Linked DNA regions of Oryzias latipes. The protein of the gene in region 4 interacts with the protein of the main gene of each other region in a pairwise test. Links are inferred from orthologs where the notes say so. Each region holds a gene or a part of one and is shown on either strand. Other genes may lie near its edges. The genes, in order: hspb7, setbp1, meaf6, plekhf2, frmd8 and ube2z.

Evidence for each region.
Region 1: the proteins of plekhf2 (region 4) and hspb7 interact in binary tests that used the Homo sapiens proteins (3 or more experiments, as listed by UniProt). The two-hybrid records come from large-scale screens. The link is inferred for Oryzias latipes from reciprocal best matches to the Homo sapiens genes PLEKHF2 and HSPB7.
Region 2: the proteins of plekhf2 (region 4) and setbp1 interact in binary tests that used the Homo sapiens proteins (3 or more experiments, as listed by UniProt). The two-hybrid records come from large-scale screens. The link is inferred for Oryzias latipes from reciprocal best matches to the Homo sapiens genes PLEKHF2 and SETBP1.
Region 3: the proteins of plekhf2 (region 4) and meaf6 interact in binary tests that used the Homo sapiens proteins (3 or more experiments, as listed by UniProt). The two-hybrid records come from large-scale screens. The link is inferred for Oryzias latipes from reciprocal best matches to the Homo sapiens genes PLEKHF2 and MEAF6.
Region 5: the proteins of plekhf2 (region 4) and frmd8 interact in binary tests that used the Homo sapiens proteins (3 or more experiments, as listed by UniProt). The two-hybrid records come from large-scale screens. The link is inferred for Oryzias latipes from reciprocal best matches to the Homo sapiens genes PLEKHF2 and FRMD8.
Region 6: the proteins of plekhf2 (region 4) and ube2z interact in binary tests that used the Homo sapiens proteins (3 or more experiments, as listed by UniProt). The two-hybrid records come from large-scale screens. The link is inferred for Oryzias latipes from reciprocal best matches to the Homo sapiens genes PLEKHF2 and UBE2Z.

What each region holds. Positions count from the first base shown.
Region 1 is NC_019871.2:18,813,604-18,817,851, reverse strand, and holds the start of hspb7 (heat shock protein beta-7), read right to left. Parts: upstream 2,801-4,248; 5' UTR 2,647-2,800; coding exon 2,436-2,646; intron 780-2,435; coding exon 619-779; intron 1-618.
Region 2 is NC_019867.2:13,776,626-13,780,557, forward strand, and holds the start of setbp1 (SET-binding protein), read right to left. Parts: upstream 2,801-3,932; 5' UTR 2,055-2,800; intron 1-2,054.
Region 3 is NC_019869.2:19,900,512-19,904,438, forward strand, and holds the start of meaf6 (chromatin modification-related protein MEAF6), read left to right. Parts: upstream 1-1,127; 5' UTR 1,128-1,271; coding exon 1,272-1,361; intron 1,362-2,562; coding exon 2,563-2,678; intron 2,679-2,765; coding exon 2,766-2,853; intron 2,854-2,929; coding exon 2,930-2,975; intron 2,976-3,060; coding exon 3,061-3,250; intron 3,251-3,927.
Region 4 is NC_019874.2:25,811,256-25,815,268, reverse strand, and holds the start of plekhf2 (pleckstrin homology domain-containing family F member 2), read right to left. Parts: upstream 2,801-4,013; 5' UTR 2,617-2,800; intron 1-2,616. UniProt on the Homo sapiens protein: May play a role in early endosome fusion upstream of RAB5, hence regulating receptor trafficking and fluid-phase transport. Enhances cellular sensitivity to TNF-induced apoptosis.
Region 5 is NC_019872.2:19,800,982-19,805,004, reverse strand, and holds the start of frmd8 (FERM domain-containing protein 8), read left to right. Parts: upstream 1-1,223; 5' UTR 1,224-1,389; intron 1,390-2,770; 5' UTR 2,771-2,777; coding exon 2,778-2,868; intron 2,869-2,995; coding exon 2,996-3,163; intron 3,164-3,241; coding exon 3,242-3,343; intron 3,344-4,023. UniProt on the Homo sapiens protein: Promotes the cell surface stability of iRhom1/RHBDF1 and iRhom2/RHBDF2 and prevents their degradation via the endolysosomal pathway. By acting on iRhoms, involved in ADAM17-mediated shedding of TNF, amphiregulin/AREG, HBEGF and TGFA from the cell surface.
Region 6 is NC_019866.2:24,083,111-24,086,610, forward strand, and holds part of ube2z (ubiquitin-conjugating enzyme E2 Z), read right to left. Parts: intron 895-3,500; coding exon 707-894; intron 460-706; coding exon 348-459; intron 1-347. UniProt on the Homo sapiens protein: Catalyzes the covalent attachment of ubiquitin to other proteins. Specific substrate for UBA6, not charged with ubiquitin by UBE1. May be involved in apoptosis regulation.

The DNA.
Region 1 (4,248 bases), on a different chromosome or scaffold from region 4:
TATATATATATATATATATATATATATATATATATATACTGGTGGTAGGCGGGCGCCTGTGTTTGGCAGCGGAGCCGCCACCAGTGTGAGAATGTGTGTGTGACTGGGTGAATGGGTCTGTGACTGTAAAGCGCTTTGTCCTTGTAGGAAGAAAGGAGCTATATAAGTATACGCCATTTACCATTTACCATATATATATATATATATATATATATATATATATATATATATATATATATATATATATATATATATATAAAAGACAGAACTGAATTGCAGAATTAAACATGGTATCTTAGTTTAAATCCTGATAGCTGAAATAAGATAACCTGTTTTCTTTCGAAAGACAAAAATTATATCTGAAAAAGGTGCGATGGTCTGCACCATTACTGTTTCTTTTGAGATGGACATGGACAATATGAAAAAGGCTCATAAATACACATACATCTTGACAAACAGAGGTTACATTCATCTGATACTTAAGGTCTTTGTCTCATTTGGATAATCAGCTTCAAAGAAAACAACCAAAAGAAGACTTAGTCCTAAAGAAAGAAAGTAATCAGATTTTGTATACCTGAACAGGAAATGGAACCAGCCTGGGTTCCTTCCGTCACTCACCTTTTGGGCTTGAATGACGATTTTTTGATTGTAGGCCATAATTACAATATCCTGTGGCTCAAACTGGCTGACATCAGCAGAAATGTAGTAAGTATCACCAACACATCGCACCCCGCTACTTGCTCCAGTCTGCAGTCCTGCCACAGTTCCACCTGCAGAAGCTGTGGAGACAAAAAAGAACAACTGAAGGATGTCAGCTCCAGAATATGGAAAGTAGAAAAACCTTGCTTAAGAAAACCCTAAACTGTCATCAAAACAAGAAGATGAAGTAAAAAAAAACAAAAACAAAAAAACATGTATCCATGTAAACCCTTGTGCCATCTTGGATGACCCTTACATCGACGTGTTCTCCCTACCATGACAAAGGTGGATAAAGGTGGAAAGATTTCATGTAATCCATGGACACCAGTGAAGATCTCAAAGCATTGAAGAAAAAAGGTTCAGCGCACTGTGTAGTGGGTCTAGATGACCCAACTCCCAATGTTAAAGTGCCTAGGATAGAACAAGGGAGTTTACTATTCATATCTGCTGAGGAGAATTATTGTTGTGATTATTCCACATGTGAATTGGAATTTTGCACTAATATCTCTTTGATGAACATATGTGTGACATACATGTGGTATGCTAAACTAAGCTTTATGGTCAAATACGTCACATTTTAGCCATTTCATTGTCTTTCTTTTTTATGTTTGCTTTAAATGTTGTTCCTTTTAATCGATTGTGTCTTATGACTTTTTACTGTTTTAACTAATAACATATATTCCTCTGTCAAGCACCTTGTGCTCAACAGCTTGTAGATGAAAAGTGCTAAGTAGTTGACTGATTGAAATATGCACAATGTAAAAGATTTTTTTTTCTTTAAATAAAATACATTACATTCATACTTTACATCTTCATTTTAACTTGAGTTTTAAATATTTTTAAAGTTTTTGTGTTGTTTATTAAATGTTTGTGCTGTCTTTAAACTGTGCTTGTGGACCAATTTTCAGGAGTGCACTGATCAACATCAATCAATCAAAACTTTATTCATACAGCTAAATTCATTACAAAGTGTTTTACTTCTTAAAAAGTAACCACACATCTTCCACCCATTACATGTAAACCCCCAAACAATTTACTTCCTGACTCTCAATATAACACAGTCCAGGAGACATGGAAAACCTTGAAGGAGTGGCTAATAAGGAGAACCATCAGAATCAGCAGTCTCATGAGCAGCGAGCCTCTACGGCTCACTGTGAAAACTGTCCATCATTAGTGACAACCTGTCATAAGAAAACTGGAATCAAACATTTGCTCTCTAAAACTAGAATTTGGTTGGAATTGAAAAGTAAAAACAGAAAACACAAGACGTAAATTACAAAATAACTACAATCAGAATAAATGAAAGGAAATCTTATGATGTGGGAATAAAAGAATTGTTAAAAAATACAACATAAAATTAGCCATGGACAGCTAATAATTGGCCTCATCTTCAAAATCTCGGAAGGTTATTAGAGCAGAAGCACATCTTTACAACCTACGGTGAAAAAACCTCACTGTGGGTTTTTGATTTTACTGTAGGAACAGTTAAAAGGCCATTGCTGGAAGATTTGAGAGTTTGTAAGAAGGAATGTGACCCACAAAACACTTAAAACCAGTACTGGGACCTCAAGATCAACCCTGAACCAAACAGAGAACCAACGCAATAAAATAGGTGTAATGGGAACCTGCTCTCTGGTCCTCATTAGCACAAATGCAAAACATGACATACTAATGATGACAATGATGTTTTAGTAACTTTAAGCCTGCTTAATGGTAAAACTAGATGATTCCCTCACCTGAATGCTCACTGGATGAACTTCTGTTCCTGCTCAAGGGGCTCAGGCTGCTGTCATCTCCAAACAAGCTGGAACAGTTAGAAGAATCAAGGAAGGGCTCCAACAGAACATCGAGGGAATCTGTGGATCCGCTCAGTGATCCCCTTGATCGATAGGTGCTGGAGGTGCTGTAGCGAGATGAGGAGCGGTAAGAGGAGGACACAGACGACATAACTGAATCGCAGAAACGTTTTACTCATAAAACTTGTGTGATGATGAAAAAGTGTAGCAGGATTTTTCCCAGTCGACTCTAAATACAGAGAAGGAGCTTTGGAGGACACTGATTATGACTACGGCTGGACCTCTTCCTGCCATCCTGGCTGCTTTTATGCATTCCTGCACATTCTTCAGCCTGGGGTTTAGCATGAACCATTCTGGGTCTCAAGATACTTTTAGCCTTAGATGGTTGTTTTTCCAACGACAAGAGCCAAGAGTGTAACGGACAAACTGATAGTAAGTGGAGACTTCTTATTCACACTCACACACAAATACACACTACAGATAACATAGAGGGGGGTGCACAGATGCAGACAGAAATAGAAAAGTGCTTCAACAGTCAGGTCATCCTGACCATGCACCCAAACTGAAACGTCACCAGCAATGCAGACAAAGTGCTTTTTTTTTTGATCAACTGATCACTTCACATGATTAAAATGTGAATATTTGATAAAATATATTTTATTCATCCTCTGGCTGAATTTTTTTGGATGATTTTGGTTGTTTTCAGGAGGCAGCACAGTGGTGTAGTAGTTAACACTCTCTCCCTAGAGAAAAGGTTCAAATCAAATGTGTGTGTTAGTGTATGTATACGTGTGTGTGTGCGTGCGCATGTGTGTGAGTGTACGTGTAGTATATGTTTCTGTGTCTATATGTGTGCGTGCATGTGTGTTTTTGTTTGCATATATCTGTTTGTAATAGAATTTCAAGGTGTGTTTGAGGTTTCTGTGTAAAAGTGCATGAAAACCAGTATGTGTGTGTGTCCACCCACCTCTCAGTAGTCTGGTAAACTGTTCATAGTGTCCTTGCCTGTAGTGGTTTGAATAAGTTCTAGCAACCCCATAACGCACACTGGACAAAGCAGGAAAGGCAGACAAGACAGTAGTGACGATAGTTGTGATGAGAGTTATGACGATTGCAGTAATGATTTTTTGTTATGATTGTTGAGACATCTACAAACAGTGTCACAAAGCAACAGTAAAGAGATCAGAGTCCTGTGGTTTCGTGTATGAGGTGAAACATGACATTCAGCAATATTTCAGTTTGCCAGCATCATTCACAGCAGAGGCTCCTCACATCTAAGATCAAACTCCAAACACTTTTTGTGTCAAGCTGTGTTTATTGATTTGACAGAGTTAATTTGTGTTCAACAGCTGGCCCGGTTCTTAGGCAGAAAGCTCCAATTAAACCTCAGGAAGCTTAGAAGCATGTTTCACTTTGGAGGAAAAGTGGAACCACAGAGACTCAGATGTCTTCTTCAGCAGTTTTCACCGTCAGCTTTACACCACAGATGCTGGGAAAGGCTTTTTCTCTCGTGGCTCACCATGATCCCTGGAGTCCATGCAGAGTCTCCCTCTGGATGATTAACAGATGGCAGTTCTGGAGAAGGTGTCCACATCTGAATGCAAAGCTGATGGTGTTAATGAGGCAAGAAAATACTCAGAAACATCAGGGAAGCTCCATTTGGCATCTTTGAGCATCACTGGGTAATTGGTAATTGTCAAATCAGCCTCAGTTGTGTATCAAAACTTTTACTTTAGCATTGTCTGTATGTGAG
Region 2 (3,932 bases), on a different chromosome or scaffold from region 4:
CTGGTTTATGTATGGCTGACCCTTCCTTGGGCCTCCCTCACCTCCTCAACCTGAGCCTCAGCGTCTCCTCACAAACACACACACCTTGACCAGCCTCAGACAGCAGGCTGACTGTGAGAGGCCAGATGCATGACATAAATACCTTTATTATGCTGCTCGTGCTGCACTCAAACAGCATAAGGTCATTCCCCACGTTGCACGTGAGGACGTTCCCGGCAACATTTTGCCAACACGCGATTATGAGAGAGCGTGGATACTGGGATACGGGCTTGGAGATGATGCAGACAGACAATTGAGAAATGCACACAAGGGGAGAGCAAGGGATGGCAGCAGAAACACAACCATTTAAGGCTGCATACCCAGCAGCCCCAGTGCCTGAGGTGGACTCACAAATAGCTCGTACACACATGCAGACAGATGCATGCACACACATTTGCAGAACTGGTGGACTGTTTGCAGAAGGTGATGTTTTTCCACTTTTAGTTTTCTCTTATAGAAGGGCACTCACAGAAACCAAGTTACCCAGAGGACCAAATCATGGATTTAGCTTTTTTTTCCCTGTGTGTTACTACCTGTGTTGTCTTCTGCTACAGGGCAGCTGGAAGGTCTATAAAACACAGAGCTATCACTGAAAAGGATGGCCTCAGAGCTGCTTCATGAAGGATGGACGCACACACACACACACATCATCTGGAGAAGTCGCATGCCAGGTAGCACTAAAACCATCCTCACCTAACTACCTCGTACAAGCAGATGAATGTTAAACCATTTTAACTGCAGCAGAAGCCACAAAATGGCTGTCAGCAAAAACACCTCCCCTACTCCCCAACTGTCTTCCTCCTTCCCCACCACCTCCACCACCCCCCACCCTCCCCAGCCTCTGTTCTCTCCCCTCTTCTCTGTGCTACCACTTTCCTTTACCCTCCCTCCCGCTCTCGTTCTGTGTGCTCTGCCAAAAGGTGCTCCAGTGCTGATATTCCGTTAAGAGCGGCTGCCAAGTTTGATTTGTCCTTGAATCCTGCTCACATCCCCCCACCCCGACACACACACACACACACTTTGCCTCCTCTGATCCTGTTTCGACCCAAGTTATCCATCTAAGACTTGGGATACACCTAATCGATTTCTCATGCTTTCATTTAAAGGTGGCATGAACATCTCATTACCTAACAGACCACAATAAACCTGTTTGCTCTTAGTGTACCACAAAAAAGAGAGGATCACCTCCATCCATGTCTGCTTCAGCTCTTTCCACCTGCCTCTCTGCTTGTGCCCTTTCATCCGTCAGCACTTATTTCAACAACTTCCCTCCCACACCAGTGACAGATCCCACCATATTTTGCTTGACTCAATCCGGGTTGTCAATTTATCTTCTGGAGCTGCAACTGGGGAGTTTTGTTTTTTAAAAGCAACTGATAAACCACTGACTTTCAAACCTCTGAGAAAGCTAAAAGGAGATCAAGTCTTTTTTTCTTCAAAACTGACAGAAAAACCACATGAAGCAGCACCAGCTTTGATCATCAGGAGTGGAACCTGTGCTGTGGTTGAAATCAGGATCCAAACACATAAAAATTAAAATGAAATAAAAATGTAAAAATAAGAAGCTTTTTGTGGACTTTTTGTGGCATTTTATCACAGAGAAAAAGTATGCAGCATCCATCTGCTGGCTCGTGCCACAAAGTGTGTTACCATGTGGAAGAAACATCAAATTCACTAAAGATGGGGGCGGGGGGTGGGGTGGGGGTCCTCACATGCTTCATTATAAATAAAATGTATCACAAAAATGAACACTAATGCCTGCTGTCACTGAGTGACAGCCTGGTTTGAGCTGTGTACGTGCGTGAATCTGCGCGTTAACTTCACCAGTGCGTGCGCTCCGTGGATCTTGTCTGCATGTGGCAACAAAAATTTCTTTATATTCACTGAAATATTAAAGCTGCATGTAATGGGGTTGGGGGGAAGGGGGGAACAAATTTATGAAAAACGGAACAGGAACACAAACACATTTACAGCAGAGGTGCGTTCAGGTGCGCAAAAGGCGGTCAGCCACTTACCCATGTCTAACGTTGACGCGCAGCCGGCTTGAACGTGTGAATATTTTATCAAGATCATTTACAATCCATTTATCCGAGGCACATTTTCACACAAGCGGCGGATGGGATGACAGCCTCCCGGGGAGCTGTCAAACGCAGCCAGAATATGTGCGTCTTTCTGACAGAAAACCCCGGGGAAAATGGCGTCAACGGCGCTCTGGACACAGAGAAAAAATGTGTCTCTCTTTTTTTTTTTTTTTTTTTTTTTGCAGCCGATCCGGTGACAGAATCAAGGTAGCCACGTAGAAGGACGAGAAAGTCCGATCAGAAACTTGAGTCCAGTTGCTCACAGAAACGGGACGTTTGGAAGCTTCCGAGGACGAGCTGGCGGCGGTGCAGAGTGCGTGTCCGATGCGGGATCGCTGGTTACTCGGGAAGCTGAGATCCCTTGCAAATCCGCTAGTAAGGGAGGAGGAGGAGGAAGAGGAGGAGGACTGTTACTGCAGTCAAAACAAGCAACCCGCATCCGACTACAACAACCCCGAATCCAGAAGAATTTTTTTAGCGACAAGACCGCGCTTGTTTGCTGCGAACTGAGAGCAGAGGACGCGGCTGCAGGTTCGGATTTCGGCTGCGCAGAATCGAACCTCCCTCGTTTTTTCTCTCTCTCTCTCTCTCTTCGTTTCCCCGCTTTTCCGATCGGTGAATGTCAGGTCTCAGAACTGGAGTCTGGTAATGATCTCACCCAGCAGACTGTGGGCTCCGTCGAAGCGGAGCGGACCGCAGACAAGAGGAGGGACAACAACGCCCCCTTCTGGTGGAACACTAACTCAGCGCGTCCCTATATTTTCCCAGCCTCCCACTTGTTTTCTCCAGAGATTTCTCCCGAGGGATGGACGGCCAGTGGGTTCAATGCACCTGTTCAATGCAACATCTGGAAAAAAAATACCTGAAGTTTTGAATAAATAATAACAATAAAAACAGTCTTGTTGGCAAAACCTGTGGACAAAACACATTAATAGAAGAAGTAGATGAGTGAACTTTTTAAAAATTATTATTATTGGAATGGGAAAATGCTTTGATTTAGACTAAAAAGTTCACAAATAAACTGATGATTCATCTCACCTAAATAAAAAATCAGTTAATTTACCACATTTATTAACATTGTTAGTTTACAAATAACTAGTGCTTTAAAACTAAGCAAATGTAGAACTTTTAGCATCCAATTATCCTGTTATCTCAGATTTTGCTTTAAAACCAAAGCTCAGATTAGAGATCAAAAAAGCTGCTATAATTAATCATGAAGTTCAAATATATCCAATTTTGTTTCATTTAAATCCAGAAAAAACTGTAAAATATAAAAACAAAGTCCAATTCTTTATTGTACAACAAAATATATAATATACATTTTTCAAAAAACACACAAAAAAAGAAATTAAAGCTTATAGACACTGATTTTTAAACAAACAAAAGTAAGTGCAATGTGGAGATAAGAGTAAAACAGGTAGCACTTGATTGCTTTTAACAATTAAACCAAACACGGAAAAGCCTTTTTAAAACGTCAACAAGGTCAAAAAGCAGTTCTGATTTATTTTTATCTTTTGACTCTTCAAAGCAGATCTTGTATTCAGAAAATGTATGCTAAACCACACTTTTATCATAACAAAGCTGTTGCTTTATATCAAGAACCCGGTGTTTCAGCCTGCATCACAAACCAAGTTAAACATCATGTAGTAGTAGCTCAAGTAAGGACCAAGATGACAAAAGCAGTATCTTGATAAACACGACTGAACATAAATTCTACATGATGTAAAGGAATGAAATGCTTTAATGTAGAAAAATTGATTCAAGTTTTTGAAACTGAATCAATGAAAATAACTCCACGAGAGGACTAGACGG
Region 3 (3,927 bases), on a different chromosome or scaffold from region 4:
TTGCCATTGAGCTGGCTTCTCAGGACTTGCCTTACTTGTATGAGGTATTTAGCTGTTGCAGCTTTCCTTGTTGCCTGCTCCAGGTTGCCATTTGCCTGCGGAATTCCAAGGTACTTGTAACTTTCCTCAATGTCTTCCATTGTTCCTTCTGGGAGTGGGACCCCTTCTGTGTGGACTACTTTGCCTCTCTTTGTCACCATCCGGCTACATTTCTCGAGCCCGAATGACATCCCAATGTCAGTACTGTAGATCCTGGTGGTGTGGATCAGGGAGTCAATGTCACGCTCGCTCTTAGCATATAGCTTGATGTCATCCATGTAGAGGAGGTGACTGATGTTGGCCCCATTTCTGAGTCGGTATCCATAGCCAGTCTTGTTGATTATTTGGCTGAGGGGGTTCAGACCTATGCAGAACAGCTGTGGGGACAGAGCATCACCATGGTATATCCAAAATTTGATGGACACTTGTGCAAGTGGCTTCCCATTGGCTTCATTTCCTATGAAGAGTCCTTTTGATGTTGTACAGCTCCAAGCATTCAGTGATCCACGTGTGTGGCATTGAGTCATAGGCCTTCTTGTAATCAATCCAGGCTGTGCACAGGTTGGTGTGTCGTGACCTGCAGTCTTGAGTGACTGTTCTGTCAACCAGGAGTTGGTGTTTGGCTCCTCTGAAGACTCTACCAATGCCCTTCTGTGTGTTTGCTCATGTATTGATCCATGTGCCTATTTATCTTGGTTACAATGATGCCAGACATGAGCTTCCATGTTGTGGATAGACAGGTTATTGGGCAATAGTTGGTTGGGACTGCACCCTTTGAGGGATCCGTCTAGATCAGGATCGTTTGCCCTTCCGTTAGCCATTCGGGTGAGTCCCATGAGCAGCTGGTTCATTTGTGCTGGCAGACGCTCGTGGAGTGCGGTGAGCTTCTTTAGTCAGTAGGCATGTAACATGTCAGGGCCCGGTGCTGTGCAGTTTTTCATACCTGAGACTCTTTCTTGTATGTCTGCCACTGTGATGGTTACTGGATTCTGTTCAGGGAGGTTGCTATTTTCTTTTGTCAGAGAGACCAGCCACTGGGCATTACTGTTATGTACTGTCTCTTTCTTCCATTTACCTTTCCAGAACTCAGTTCAAGTATAAAACAAGGTAGGAAGAGGGTCCTTTCACAACGCTTGGGCGCCACCTTGCGGTCTTATCTTTGTCGGCACCAACGCGTCTCCAGTTTTCCTGAGCGCGCGCGCCTCCTCCCGTCGGTTCCGGAACGAGCCATCATGTCGATGCACGCGAAGGCGACCCCGCCGCAAATCCCGGACACGCGTCGGGAGCTGGCGGAGCTGGTGAAGAGGAAACAGGAGCTCGCCGTGAGTCCGCAGTTCTGTTTCAGCGGGTTAAATGTTTTTTTTCGGAACCCGGGTTTAGCGCGCCAAGCTGAGATACCCGAGCATTAGCTTATGCTAGCTGAGCTAGCAGGCCGCAAAACCTTTATTGTGAATTGTCCTAACTAAGCATCGACCAAGAACAAAAACACTTTATCCTCACATCGAAAAAAACATTTAAAGTTTGTGTTTCTGCGTTTCATGTTTGAATGTTTTATTTTTTCACGTTTTTTGACGAACAAAATCCAAATTAGTTTACAGACCTGAAGCACGAACAGTGTGTTCTCGCGATACCTTACGTTTTGAAACTCTTTATTGTTCAACACCGTTGTTTACAGAGTGGAACCTACTAAGATTTAGTAGTGAAAAACCAAGTTACAATCGCGTTACATTTCTGTCATAGGTTATTTTTCTTATCTTTTTGCGACTTTTACTGTTTTCATCTCTAGTTGTGCTTCTAGTAATACTCTAAGTAATGGAAAATGACCTTTATTGTAAAGTACTAGTGCGTCACTTAAAATTACTTTTTTTGTCTAACATAAAACGTTTAACAACAAATTTGCTTAATTACCCAGTACTGTAGTAGTAGTTTTTTTGGTTTACATACTCGTTTGGTTTACATACTCGTTTTTTAACATGTTGTTATTGTTTGGACGACTACTCTTTAACTTTTGCCTCCTTAACATTATTTAAAATAATGTTTTGCTTGTACTTGAAAGATGTTTCCCGTCAATTTATTGACCTTTATTGACAATAACAAGCGTCAAATTCAATTAAAAAGTCTCAAAATGGAATTTTTCTTGAATTTAGTTGGAATGTATAAATGCATGTATCCATCATCTACCACTTCAAAGATAGAAAATGTTTTTCTAGTTGTATACTGACTCTGCAGTCTTGTGGATTTCTATAAACATTGAATTTAGTTCATAAATTGGAAAATTAGATGATTGGGTTGATCAACTAGGAAGAGAAAGACCAATTCTGGAGCTGAAAAATTCAAAGTTTACCTCAAGTGGCTAAATAATGAAACAATCTTTACCAGAACCTCAAGAGGATTTTCAAGTTTTTGATGGTAAAAATAAATGAATGAAATAAATTTTAAAAAAGCTATCTTTGTGAAAAGATAAGCACTGATCTTAGCTTGACCAATCAGAACGTCTGCAGTAAAACCGTTTTAACGACACAGGAGACGCTGGTGAACCTGGAGCGGCAGATTTACGCCTTTGAGGGCAGCTACCTGGAGGACACTCAGATGTACGGGAACATCATCCGAGGGTGGGACCGATACCTGACCAACCAGAAGTGAGTGTGAATGCGGCAGACTCCGGTGAGGTTAGATCTTCTGTGCGTTTGCTGATCGGGTCCTTTTCTTTTTCTGCGATCAATCAGGAACTCCAATAGTAAGACTGACCGGAGGAATCGCAAGTTCAAGGAAGCGGAGCGTTTGTTCAGCAAGTCCTCTGTCACGTCCGTCGCAGTAAGTACTTCCTGCGCGTGATGCGTTCAGCCATCTCATGTGAAGTTGCTCCTCAGTGGTCTCTTGTGATTGGCAGGCAGTGTGTGCGCTCGGCGGGATCCCGGATCACATGAACGAGAAGCGTGAGTCAAATTTGCCTACTTTCCTGGTGCCTGGGCCTCCTCAGAATGCCGGTTCTGACTTGTTGCCTCCCGGGGGATTCCCCAGGTGAGGCCGGCAGCGGCACAGAGAGCGATGCGTCTCCAGACCTTCAGAACCAGGAGAACGAGCCGAGTCAGGAGGACACGGAGGACGTGGACTCCACGCTGCACGACCTGAAGCCTCAGAAAGCCGCCTCCTCTTCCTCAGGCAGCCATCACGGGAGCTACAAGAAGAGGAAGAACAAGAACAGACACAGGTGAGGTGTGGGCGGGGTTAAAGCTGAGCCGCAGCAGATTCACCAGAACTTTTCTGTTTAAATTTGGAGATTTACAGCTTTAACAAGGCAAACTAATATATTTGTGTTATTAAGATCAAGAGAACAGATTACACTTAATAAAAATTACAATAATTGAACATTTTTACAAAATATGGTGATTTTTTTTTTTTTTTTTTTTTTTTCCGTCTTCTTCTGACTAAAAAAGTTGAAGTAGAAAACGTTCATTTCCTAAAAAAAATGCTCGTGTGATTGCTGAAGCTGGCTACAGATGATGATGATGATGATTAGGGCTGAAACGATTCCTCGAGTTACTCGACTTACTCGATTACAAAATTTCCTCGAGGAAAAAACTCTGCCTCGAAGCCTCGTTACATTCCTATGACGCGCACTATACGCAGGGATTTGATTGTGTCACACGGACCTTTTGAATTTAGTTGGCGCGATGGCGGAGAATAGATCTATAAATAAACGGCAGAAATTGTCTTAAGTGTGGGATCATTACACACTTAATAAAGAAGAGAACAAGGTGCAGTGTCTGTACTGCAAAATAGAGCTGGCATTCCACAACAGCACATCTTCCATGATTCAGCATCTGAACAGAAGACATCTGCGCGACCGCTGGAACCCCGACGCCTTACCCGCGCGTGCCGCCGGCA
Region 4 (4,013 bases):
ACAGGTAACATCTTTGCTTATCTGCTTGATGTGTCACAAAGGAAGTAACAACCCTATTAATGTAAGCCGTAGCTATATATAAACTGAGACATGCAGGATTATGTGGTGGAAAGTACACTGGATTACAAAGGAAACTACAGACATCCTGTCCTTCCAGAATGGAGGGGAGCAGTGAGACGGACAGTCTGCTGTTCCGTCAGGTAGTTTTCATACTAGTCACCTCTAATAAAACTAGTTTTACTATTCAGGCTTGAACACAAATAGGGGACAAAATTACTTGGCTTGACTAAGTAACTTAATTACTTCTCTCAAATCAAAAGCATAAGTAATATTGTATAACTGATAACATAAGAACCTGTACTATATGTAACCAACTTCAGTTATCTAGGACTGGAAACCTGTCATAAGGTGTTCTTTTCCGTGACTTAGTAATTTTAGTAATTGAAAGTTCCTTAGACTGACAAAGGTGGTGGTAATCTTATACGCCAACATCCTTATCTCAACTATAGTAGGACAGTTAAAATACACCAGAGACATGTAAGGCTCCTAAAACTGGTTTTTAATGCAGTAAAGGTATATTAACAGTAATATTTTGTTAATACTCACATCATTTAAAATGTAGATAGTAACCCAAACCTAATTTTTCCTTTTGTTTTCCTATTCAGGTAAAAATGTTCTGTCTTTTCAGAATCTAATCATGTAATTTTTCTCAATATGCCTGAAATAACAAAATACTCATAAATAATTGGAATTTTTGTGGATACATTCATTTCTTGTGAGGTTTATTTTTTATTTTTAAAATGTTAAATCGAGCTTTTTTTCTGTTTTATATATTTTTTTCTAATACAACTATTTCATTACGTTGTAATAAAAAAACAACATTTTAAATGTTAAAAAATATTCTAAATTTAAAAAATTGGACAGGGTTTGACACTAAGCTTCCTGACATGTATGGAATTTGAGTCTAGAAAAGCCTCAGGTTTTGTTTTTCACAACTAATACCGGAAACAGAGGTATAAAAAAAAGAAACGAACAAATGCAGCATCAACCTTTAGAGCTAAAAAAAGATTAGATGCAATAGACACATTAGATAACAAGATCATATCTCACAAACCATTTCCTGCAAGCTTTTTTTTCCAGTAAACTGTGTGTTCAATCTTAAAACCAGTGATTTTCAATCTATTTCCAACATTAAATTCGAACATGACAACATGCATTTACATGTTTACATTTAGAATGAAGAAGCCACAGAAATACTGTACATGTGACCTCTGACTTTACATATTTTCTTCTCCCCTTACATATTGCAAAATGAATGTTTTTAAATAGCTTTGCCTTACAAGTGTCTTGACTTTGCAACCATTTGATTAAGTTTGCTAAAAAATATACAGTGGTGGATTACAAAAAGGGAAACAAACTATTTCTACTAAAACCTTTTTTTTTGGTTAAACCTGTTAATTAGAAGGGAAGGTACAAACACTGAAACACAGCTGATTTAATTACTAATTAATTATCAGATTAAAAAAACAAAAACATTATGCTGCCAAATTATAGGACAACAGTAGTTATTATTGAACGCATTAATTTCATGAATTATTTGGATTTGTGGCATTTGCAAAATTTGCAAGCAAAAATTAAATAAGTGCTTTGCACATATTGCAATTACCAATTTTCTCATCTACATTGTTCTCTCAAAAAATAAGAGTCCTCTGTGCAAAGAAAGCAGAACTTGTTCAGGAGTCAGCCACTGTAGTCAATGCATGTACTGACTTGTGAGGGGATAGGAATTTGAAACTTTAAAATAAAGAAAAAAGAAAAGTTCATGTACAACTTAATACCTGCCAAGCAGATTACACGTCAACAGCTTTTAGCATTCAAGGCTGAATAAGTAAAAATTAAAGAGAAGTTCTGTGCAGTTTTAACCTCTGCACTTTAACACATGCAAGACATGATGTTGAACTTCTCTTTTTCATTACAGAAAGTTCAACTAGCAGCAGAAATCGAACAGTTACTTCTACCACAGCACAAGAGAACAAGTCTGGACCTCTAACTGCTACCAGATTCACGTGAACAGGTTTCAGAAGGGTGGAGTAATCTGGAGTCTTTCCTAAACCTGTAACTGCTCAGGAAACTAGTCATTATTCTCTTCACCCCTCCAATTAATGCCTCAAAGGGAAATAAAACTCCTATAAACTGGAGTTTATCAAGGGTTTCCAAACTCAACAAAACACAATTGCTTACTTTTAAAATCTCCAAATGAAAGTTATAACAAAGTTCTCGAGACTTCCCGATTCAAAATTGTCATCCAAGTTGGAAAACTGGTGTCAATGTCAATTGAGAGTTAGCCACCTAGCTACGAAGTTAGCTTCTAAACATTCATCAAAAGTTAGTTCTGGTCCATAAGATAGTTCCACTTTTCTCACTAGGCCTTACCGAAACAAGATCTGCGATATCGTTTGATAAAAGTACCCGAAATAAAACGAAATAGTAGTTTTTAGAGCCAGCAACCTCCTAGCTTAAGAAGGAATAAAGTAGCACGAGCCAAAGCAGCCAGGCTTTAGCCCTATCGCCAAAAAAACCAACAGTAACAACTTTTAAACTCGAAGAACTACATACCTGATGGCAGCTGGTGTTATACAGTCAAACTTTCAGTAATTTTCAGCTCGGTTGTACTCCAGTTCCTGACCAAAAAAGCGATATCTTCGTTAGAGAAAGTGGCCGCTGCGTTCAGAGGGAGCAACAGCAGCTGGAAACTGCCCCGGCCGAGGATTAGACAACAACATGGCAGCACCGCGCTGCCTTCACGGACCTCCGCTTCAAATCCAGAGCGCTGGGAAAACGGAGCACTGACATGACACATTCAAAGGACTCAACTCTCACAGACGCTCAACTGTCATGTTGTGCATTTAGTATTACAAACAGCACTGAAAGATTACTACTTTTTACTGGTTATAAAATCAAAGTGCGCATAAAGTCATTGGTACTCAAATTTACTGGTGGATTATGAAAGCCTTCTTTGAAATGCAAAATTTACAAGCTTTATTTACATTTCTGTTTTTCTTGAAAATCTTTCTTTTTAAATGACTGAAAAGTCATTAAAAAAGATTCAATGTGCCTACAAAAATATAAAAATAAAATCCTGACACCAAACAAACACACCACAATAATAAAAAAAAGGCTTCTTGTTCCGCCCTTTATATTCAGTTTGGAAACCTCTTCAGTCATTTGAGTTATAGCCAAATTCCCCATCATGGAGCTACAACAATGATATCCTGTTTTGAGGTAATTTAAAAGAGAAACTCAAATAAAATGCTTCAGTCGTCAGTTCCCACATTCGGTGTCAGCCACTCTTTCATCCAAAACAAGTGACTTCATTTATTTATCTATTTACTTAATTCTCTATTAATAATTTATTTATTCATTTTCGTTTCTTTAGACATGCTATTTTAACAAAAAATAGTTCAAGCTATTCTCTAGAGCCTTGCCTCTGAAGTTTAACTTTCTGCAAAAAGTTAAAAAAATAAACAGAACTTAAACTCATACAGAAACGTTTCAACACAGCTGGAAGTCCTTTTAAAAGTAACAAATTCAAACAAAAACTTGTTTTGCCCCAACAACCTTTTTTGAGGAGAGGTTTTCTGATGTACCATGAAGGCACCACGAGCTGGGCCAGTAGCCAAACTCGGGGAAGAGAAATGAGGTGCCAGTTCATGATTCAGACCATAAACAGGACAGGACATGCTTGGCCTTTCCAGGTAACAAGGCGCTTCCAACTTTGTGGAAGAGAAAGTTGAAAAGCTTTCACCAACATTTGACACAATTAATTTTTTTGTTTTTTTTAAACAGAGAACATTTGCAGTCAGTCATAAATCAGGATTTTTTTAAAAACTCTGTCAAGCTAACTTTGTGCAATTTAATACAAAGGAGTATTAATTATTTTATTATAACTTCTTGAGGTTTATTTAAGAAGTACCTCCAGTTTTGTGAAATAGATCATAGAAACTTTAAGAATG
Region 5 (4,023 bases), on a different chromosome or scaffold from region 4:
ATTGTAAAATGGAAGTTACACTTTTTTTGTTTGATTGCAAGAGACTGGACAAGATTTACACTTTTATTCATATTGTAATTTGTTGACAGACCATGTCATACCAACATAGAAATAACCCACTGCAAACAGTAACACAAAGGGAAAAAAAAGATAGGACAATATTCTGTCCAACAGTACAGGCAGTGCAGTAGGAATTGGTGTGGTCTTCCTACACCTCTTGTCGTTCCTGTATGTTAGGCCACAAATTCTCATCCACATCACAGCGAATGTCCCCTCTTGCAATGCAGCGAAATATGTTTGTCACATTATGACAACTTGGTCAACCATTTTGCAGTTAATGACTTATACGATGAACTAATGACTAGGTGTTTTGAGGAGTAAGACTATTGCACAGTGAACTATATAATTCATTTTGATCAACATGACATAAACAATTGATAATGTAGCAAAGAGCAGAGGATTGTACATAATCATTTGCATGGATGTACCAAAGCAATTGCAACTTATTCAAAGAAGTGAGAAACTGCTTATATGATGTGCACAAGTGACATCATGATGTGAAGATTGGACAAATAGTTTTGGGAATTTCCTTATGATCTGAAAATTGTACTAAAGCGACTGAGAAAAACTGTAACAAGTGGTACTGTTAATATGAAATATTTTATTTAAAATATTCATTGGCCTTTTCATTTTGAATAGACATATATGAAAGGAAAAAAAACATTGGCAGAGTAATCTGAGGTTGTGTTCGAAAAATCACTTCACATCTGATTTAAGAAAAATGAATTACCGGTAATTTATTTAAGGAATTAGACGCAACTCTGCAATCCTGTAAGAGAAAAAAACAAAGCAATACAAATGAACATATGCTATTAACACTATTGACACTATATGTGGAAAAATTGGTAGAAACGCGCTATACAAGTATATGACATTTAAGCCATATAATATTTACATATCTATGAAAGAAAACAGCCTGATATTTCCTAATCTCTAAGATGATAGGCAGAGAGCAGCAGGTTTGATCACGTGACAAACAGAGGACGCATGCTCAGTAATATTTCATATTTCATGTGTGTAGTTTCCCGCCCTGTCGCTGTGAAACATGTTCTCATGTCGAAACCTTGTCACTGGTTGAAGAACCTCTTTTTATTGGCTGTTGGGTCTTTTGGGGGCGGGACATATAAAAAAAACTAACCAATCAATCTGCGGTTGCGTTTTGACACTGGCAGTTACCCGGAAAGCTAGGTTAAGTTAGCTAGTGGTGTCTAGCCAGGTGAATTGAAGTGAACTGCTGATGAACCGATGAATTTAGCAGTCTTTCCAAAGTTAGCCAGACCTTTTTGCTTCATATTCAACGAGCGGAAGACGAGCTACAGTGAAATAAAAGTAGGTCATTGTTTCCCTTTCATGTATAATTTCTTAAGATTTGTATTTAAGCAGTCTCTAAAACGAGCGAGGCTTCAATTAACACGACTTTTATAAAATATTATGGACTTATAGGTTCCGCTTAACAGTCGAAGACATCAGCGTCGTGTTTCTCGTCATATTCGTTGAGTTTTTCTTAAGCAAATCGTTTGCTCACACAACACAGTAGAAAAAAAATGTCACGGCGGGTCGCTCCTATTTACCGACCATTGTTTGGTCACGGTGTCTGCAGTTTAACACAAGCCTAATAAAGTCGGTAAACTAGTAGACGGTGTCAGTTTTCAGTTTGTGTTTCATTATGTCAATGTTATATACGGATTGAATGACGGATGTTTGGGTTTTGGGGACTATTGGTCAACAGTCGCCAGAAGTGTTGAAATTCTTTAGGAGTCTGCTCTGTTGGAAACCACACGGTGGCGCTAACCTTCATCGACTATTGGCAACAATCTCCTTTCTGTAAACACGACTGGAAAAAAAACAAAAGGAAAGTGAAGATCTTTTAGTTTCTGAGCACGCGCGTTTTTAGGCAATGCAGGCTGTGACCTACACAAATCTTTGCAGAGCTTATCTATAACATTCAAAAAGTCAAATTTTAACAAAGATAAAAACTAATTATTTGGTCATTTTCTTATGTTGAACAGTTCAGGATTTATTCCTGCAACAATTAAACTCAGTAAGTCCCACACCGATCATCTCTTGATCTATTCTAAAAGAGTTCCCAGTGGTCTTTTAATTATGATCATGCTGTTTATAAGCTGTTACGTTTTCTATGACAGTTTCTGCAGGGCGGCAGAAGTTTATCAGAAATTTCCCTTTGAGTTGTGGGCGGGACTGTTGGCTCGGAGTAAGCCACTCCTCATTTCCCATCATCTCTTTGTTTACACTCTCTTCTGCTAGCCCCAACTCAACCGAGCAATGAAAATGGGGAGCAATATTAGAACTATCCAGCCATACAGTTCTGAGCCAAATGTCAGCTCAGACGAGGAAAGTGAGGTCGTACGTCGTCTACACATGGATGTATCAGAATGGAGCTGAGCGGGAGCTTGTGGCCTGCCAACTGTTGGACCTACATAACAAATCCAGTCTTCTTTAAACTGCATATTTTTCATCTGCTCAAATTCAGAACAATTTAAATGAAGAAATACTCAGAAATTCACTTTTAATCTTAATTTTCTTAATATGTCCTCCATCATAAAAACGCTGAAAACACACTTTTCATTGGAGTGGGTCTTTAAACGGGCACGTGCAGAGAGTCAAGTTTTTTTGTGTTGACCTTAATCACAGTTTTTCCTTTATGTCACACGTCTGGACTCACTTGTATGCTTGTTTTTTTGGGTTTCAGATAAGACATGGAGGGAGATAGTGGCAGTTTTCTTCCAGATCTGTCAGAGGATCTTTCACAAAGAGGAAGTGTTGCTTCCTCTGCAACTCTTTCCCGTGGTACGGTTCTACAAACTCCTCATGGACACTCTTACTACTTTCTCCACACATTTTGATGCAGTAATCAAATTGAATCGGTTTCTGTGTAAAAATGCCTCTTTTTCTAATATCCCCCCCCCCCCCCCAGTTCAGGAACTGCTTGTGTACTTGTGTGGCGACAACGCAGTGCACTTGTCTTTGGAGTCTCTCAGCAGTGTGACAGTGCAGGAATTGGGCCGCAGTGTTCGTGAGGCTCTCCAAATTCCTGAGTCTTTACATGATGCGTTTGCCTTTTGGCTTTGCTCCCCATTGCTTGGTACGTTTTTTTTTTGCTCTTAACCTAATGTACACTTAAAATAATAATGCTCATTGAAGACCATTCACCTTTCTTCAGAACTGCAGTTAAAAGCGAGGCATCAGCCTTATAAACTGTGTCGGCAGTGGCAGGACTTGCTGTATCGCTTCACTGAGGCATCGGAGGACGACATTGCACAAGGTAGGACCTGGACACAGTTTGATTCTGTCTCCAGCCAAAGAGGTTTCCGTTGTTAATGTTTCTCTGTGGTCCAGTTTATTTTCCTAAAAAGAAACTGCCATGTTTTCTTATGAAACCGGGACCATCAAAGCCTGTAAACATTATGATGTGATGTTCTATAAAGATAAATAGTTCTATACAGATTTTGACATTATTTATTAAACTCCAACGTTTTTTGCTTCGCAGTCTGCTCATCTGTACATGCCAAACAAAGCTGGTTTCTTCTGCTGCAGATGTTTTATGTGTTTTAGTGGTCCCTCATTTATCACGGAAGTTACGTTCCAAACATAACCTGCCATAGGTGAAATCTGCAAAGGAGGATTATAGATGCTTTAAAGGCTGTAAAACTACTCACTTCATGCACTTTTCTCAGACTGACATGAACATTTTCACACTTTTCTCTCGTTTAAACTTTTAAAGTTCAAACCTTCATAGAAAAATGAGTCCACTTTTACAGAATTAAAAACAAAGATCTGCTCAAGAGGAATGATTCATGTGAATCTGCCGAACAGGAGACACGGCATAGAGGACATTGACAACGTCAACAGGCAATCAGGACAGTGTTAAAAAAAAAATGTAAAAATGAACTGAAAATAATGTTCAAAAACAGCGAGATCACAAAAGGTAAACCGTGATATAAC
Region 6 (3,500 bases), on a different chromosome or scaffold from region 4:
CATTTGAGTTTTAAATCCCCTTGTTAGATAATTATTTAGAGTTCAGACAGCGTTAATGACTGAACAGTGGATTTACTGTCGTGTCTTCAGGTTTTTGATTTGATGCAGCAGCAACAGAAACCAGACTCACTAGAGCTGCACTTGAGTTTAGACCCTGAATTTTACCAGAAGGTTTGACACAGTTTCACAACCACTGCACAGAATCACGTGATCACGTGACTTGTGCCTTCCTGAATTTGAACTCACTCAACCACGCCCCCCACTGGCTGTCTGATTATGTTCATCGCGACATTTCTGATGATGAGGCGATACAGAACTTTGGAGTTGGCGGCGGCGGGGAGCTTTACCTGCTCAAACCCAGGTTCGTTGTGGTACGGGTTCTCCGTCATCAGAGACTGGATGGAAATGAGGACAGACGAGATGCTCTGGGCAGGACTCCAAGCTGGACCGGTCCAAGTCCTACACACACACACACACACACCCATACACACAGACACGGTTAGAACAGATTTAGTTTTGGTTCGCCCTCACAGTAGTGAGGCGGGTCCCGCTCGTCTTCTGCATTTCTGCTAAAACTACATTTTCCCAACCTTAACACCAAACTGGAAAAAAACGTTCATGGATTTGGTTAGTAAAAATCCGACTTGGGTGGAAGTTTGAGTCTGTGCTGCATGTCTGACTGTAACGTAGCAGAAAGAGGACTTACCCCAGGATGCTGAGGCACACCTTGCCGTTGCGGTAAAAGTTGGGGTTAAAGCGAACAGTGTTGTGTCCAGTGGTGATGAGCTTCACCCGCGGGGGGTGGATGGGGTAGTCTGGGGGGCAGCGGAACAGGAAGAGGAAGAAGCCGCCCTCGTACGGCGTATCGAACGGTCCTGTAATCAGCGCGTGGATCTGAGGAGACATCGTTCCAAATCTCTGCTGAGCATCTCTCTGCTGCAGCGACATTCATCCTCTACAGACAAAACCCGCGACAGAAACCCGGCGGTTAGAGACGAACCAGGGCTCCAGACATTTTTGCGACCAAAATTTGAATTTTACATCCAGTCACACATGTGCTACCAGTAAATTTGCCTCCCCCACCCTCCGTATTTTTTATACATTAAACATGGAAGGGGCAAGTCAATGATCAATGAAATGAGCAATGAAATAATCAATGAGACGCGAGCGCACACGCACGCAGACAGACACACACTCGCACACATACTCATGAGACACACGAGCACACTCTCGCGTTTCATTGAGTGATGCCCGTCTGTGAGGCGGCCACTGCGTGTGAGAAGAATAAATGGCTTATACTTATATAGCGCCTTTCTTCCTACAAGGACAAAGCGCTTTACAGTCACAGACCCATTCACCCAGTCACACACACAGTCACACACACAGTCACACACACATTCACACACTGGTGGCGGCTCCGCTGCTAAGCAACGCAGGTTTGAGCCAAACTGTTGACATTTACAAAGTTCACTTTTCAAACATCTGCTCAAAACCAACTGGACTATAAAAATACAAAAAATAAAAATAATGGACCAATAGGGAAAGTCACTGTAAGTGGCTAAATGCGTGGAGGGGGAGGGGCCTAGAGATAATCGAGCGCGCGTAAACATCTGTGGGAAGGAAACGGAGACAAATATCATCACAACCTGATATGTGCGTCTGAGCTATGAATAAGCGAACTATTGATTCGTTCTTCCGACCTGCGGCTGGTGTACCAGGGCCAAAGTCTACAGCAGGGGTCTCAAACTCACGAAGCAAACCGCGGTTCTCATGCACGGCTGTAACGGCAGCACACCGCTCCCGCGGGAGTCGGGTCAGCTGAGGGGAATAAATGTCCCACACCTACATGCGTGACAGCTAACGGGGCTCTAGCATTAAACACGTGTGAGCAACAACACGATTTAGTCTTAGTCACATTTAAAACACATGGGGAAAATGCAACGATAGACGTGTCTAAGATGAACCAGCGCCCTGGGGGGGGGGGGGGGGGGGGGCATGAAGGCGAAGCTAAAGCGAGACTGAAGGAGAACAGGAAGTTGTAGTCCGTAACGTTCAATTTAGTTTTAATATGCCTCTCCCCCTAAGTATGATCTGTGATATTACATCTTTTATAATTATTTTAATGTTTTGTAATGGATGTAGCCTTTTTTTAATCAGTTGGTATTTTAAATTATTTTAATTGATCAGTGAACTACAAAAACCCATCAGGACACATGTCCCATAATGCATTGTTTTGTAGTCTGTAGGGCAGCTTTCAGTCAGTTCAGTACTAAATTTCCAGCTGCGTTCGCTCTGATTGGGGTCTTGCTCTATGGAGAGAAATTAGACTCAGTCGGATTTGTGCGTGCGTAATACTTGATTTGTGCGTAAATTAGGATTTGTGTATGGATATTCTTGCTTTGTGCGTGCGTAAATTAGGATTTGTGCATAAATTTGGATTTGTGCGTGATTTGTTACTCACATAATACGTTTTGTGTATAAGTTAAAAAAATATAAAATGAAAAAAATACAAAATACAATTTACGTATGCACAAATTAAGATTACAACAGCTTGAAACTACTTACACACACACACATCTTTAAAAAACACGCACGAATCCTTTGTTCCGCACACACGAAGCCAAAGTTACGCACGGATCTACCGTGAGACTGTTTTCACGTCTCCCAAATTCGTCCGTAAGTGCTGCGTTTAAATACCAGTGGAATGCTCGGTCATTAGAATTTTCCTATCAGCCTTCCCTTCTAAACGTATCCAGACAATGACTCAATCAATACATGAAGACAGTAGATGTAAGTGTTGAAAATAGAGGCTACTTACTTCGGGGCGCTGACCACCGAGATGGGCCGCCATTCTTCCCGTGACTCTCTCAGTCTGACAGCCTTTGATTTTTCCGGAAGAAAAAAAACAGTGCCCCCTACTGGTCGCTCCTGTTACGCATTTTGTATCAATTCGGTGTCTTGGAGAATAATATACTTTTAATATATATATTAGCGTTTAAAAGTGAACGTCATATTCTCAGATAATAATTTTTATTTTCCTTTAAAGTTTTTTTAAGCCCTGCTAAACCCACTGAAGGAAATACGTTTAGAAGGGAAGGCTGATAGGAAAATTCTAGTGACCGAGCATTCCACTGGTATTTAAACGCAGCACTTACGGACGAATTTGTGAGACGTGAAAACAGTCTCACGGTAGATCCGTGCGTAACTTTGGCTTCGTGTGTGCGGAACAAAGGATTCGTGCGTGTTTTTTAAAGATGTGTGTGTGTAAGTAGTTTCAAGCTGTTGTAATCTTAATTTGTGCATACGTAAATTGCATTTTGTATTTTTTTCATTTTATATTTTTTTAATTTATACACAAAACGTATTATGTGAGTAACAAATCACGCAAAAATCCAAATTTATGCACAAATCCTAATTTACAAACGCACAAAGCAAGAATATCCATACACAAATCCTAATTTACGCACAAATCAAGTATTACGCACGCACAAATCCGACTG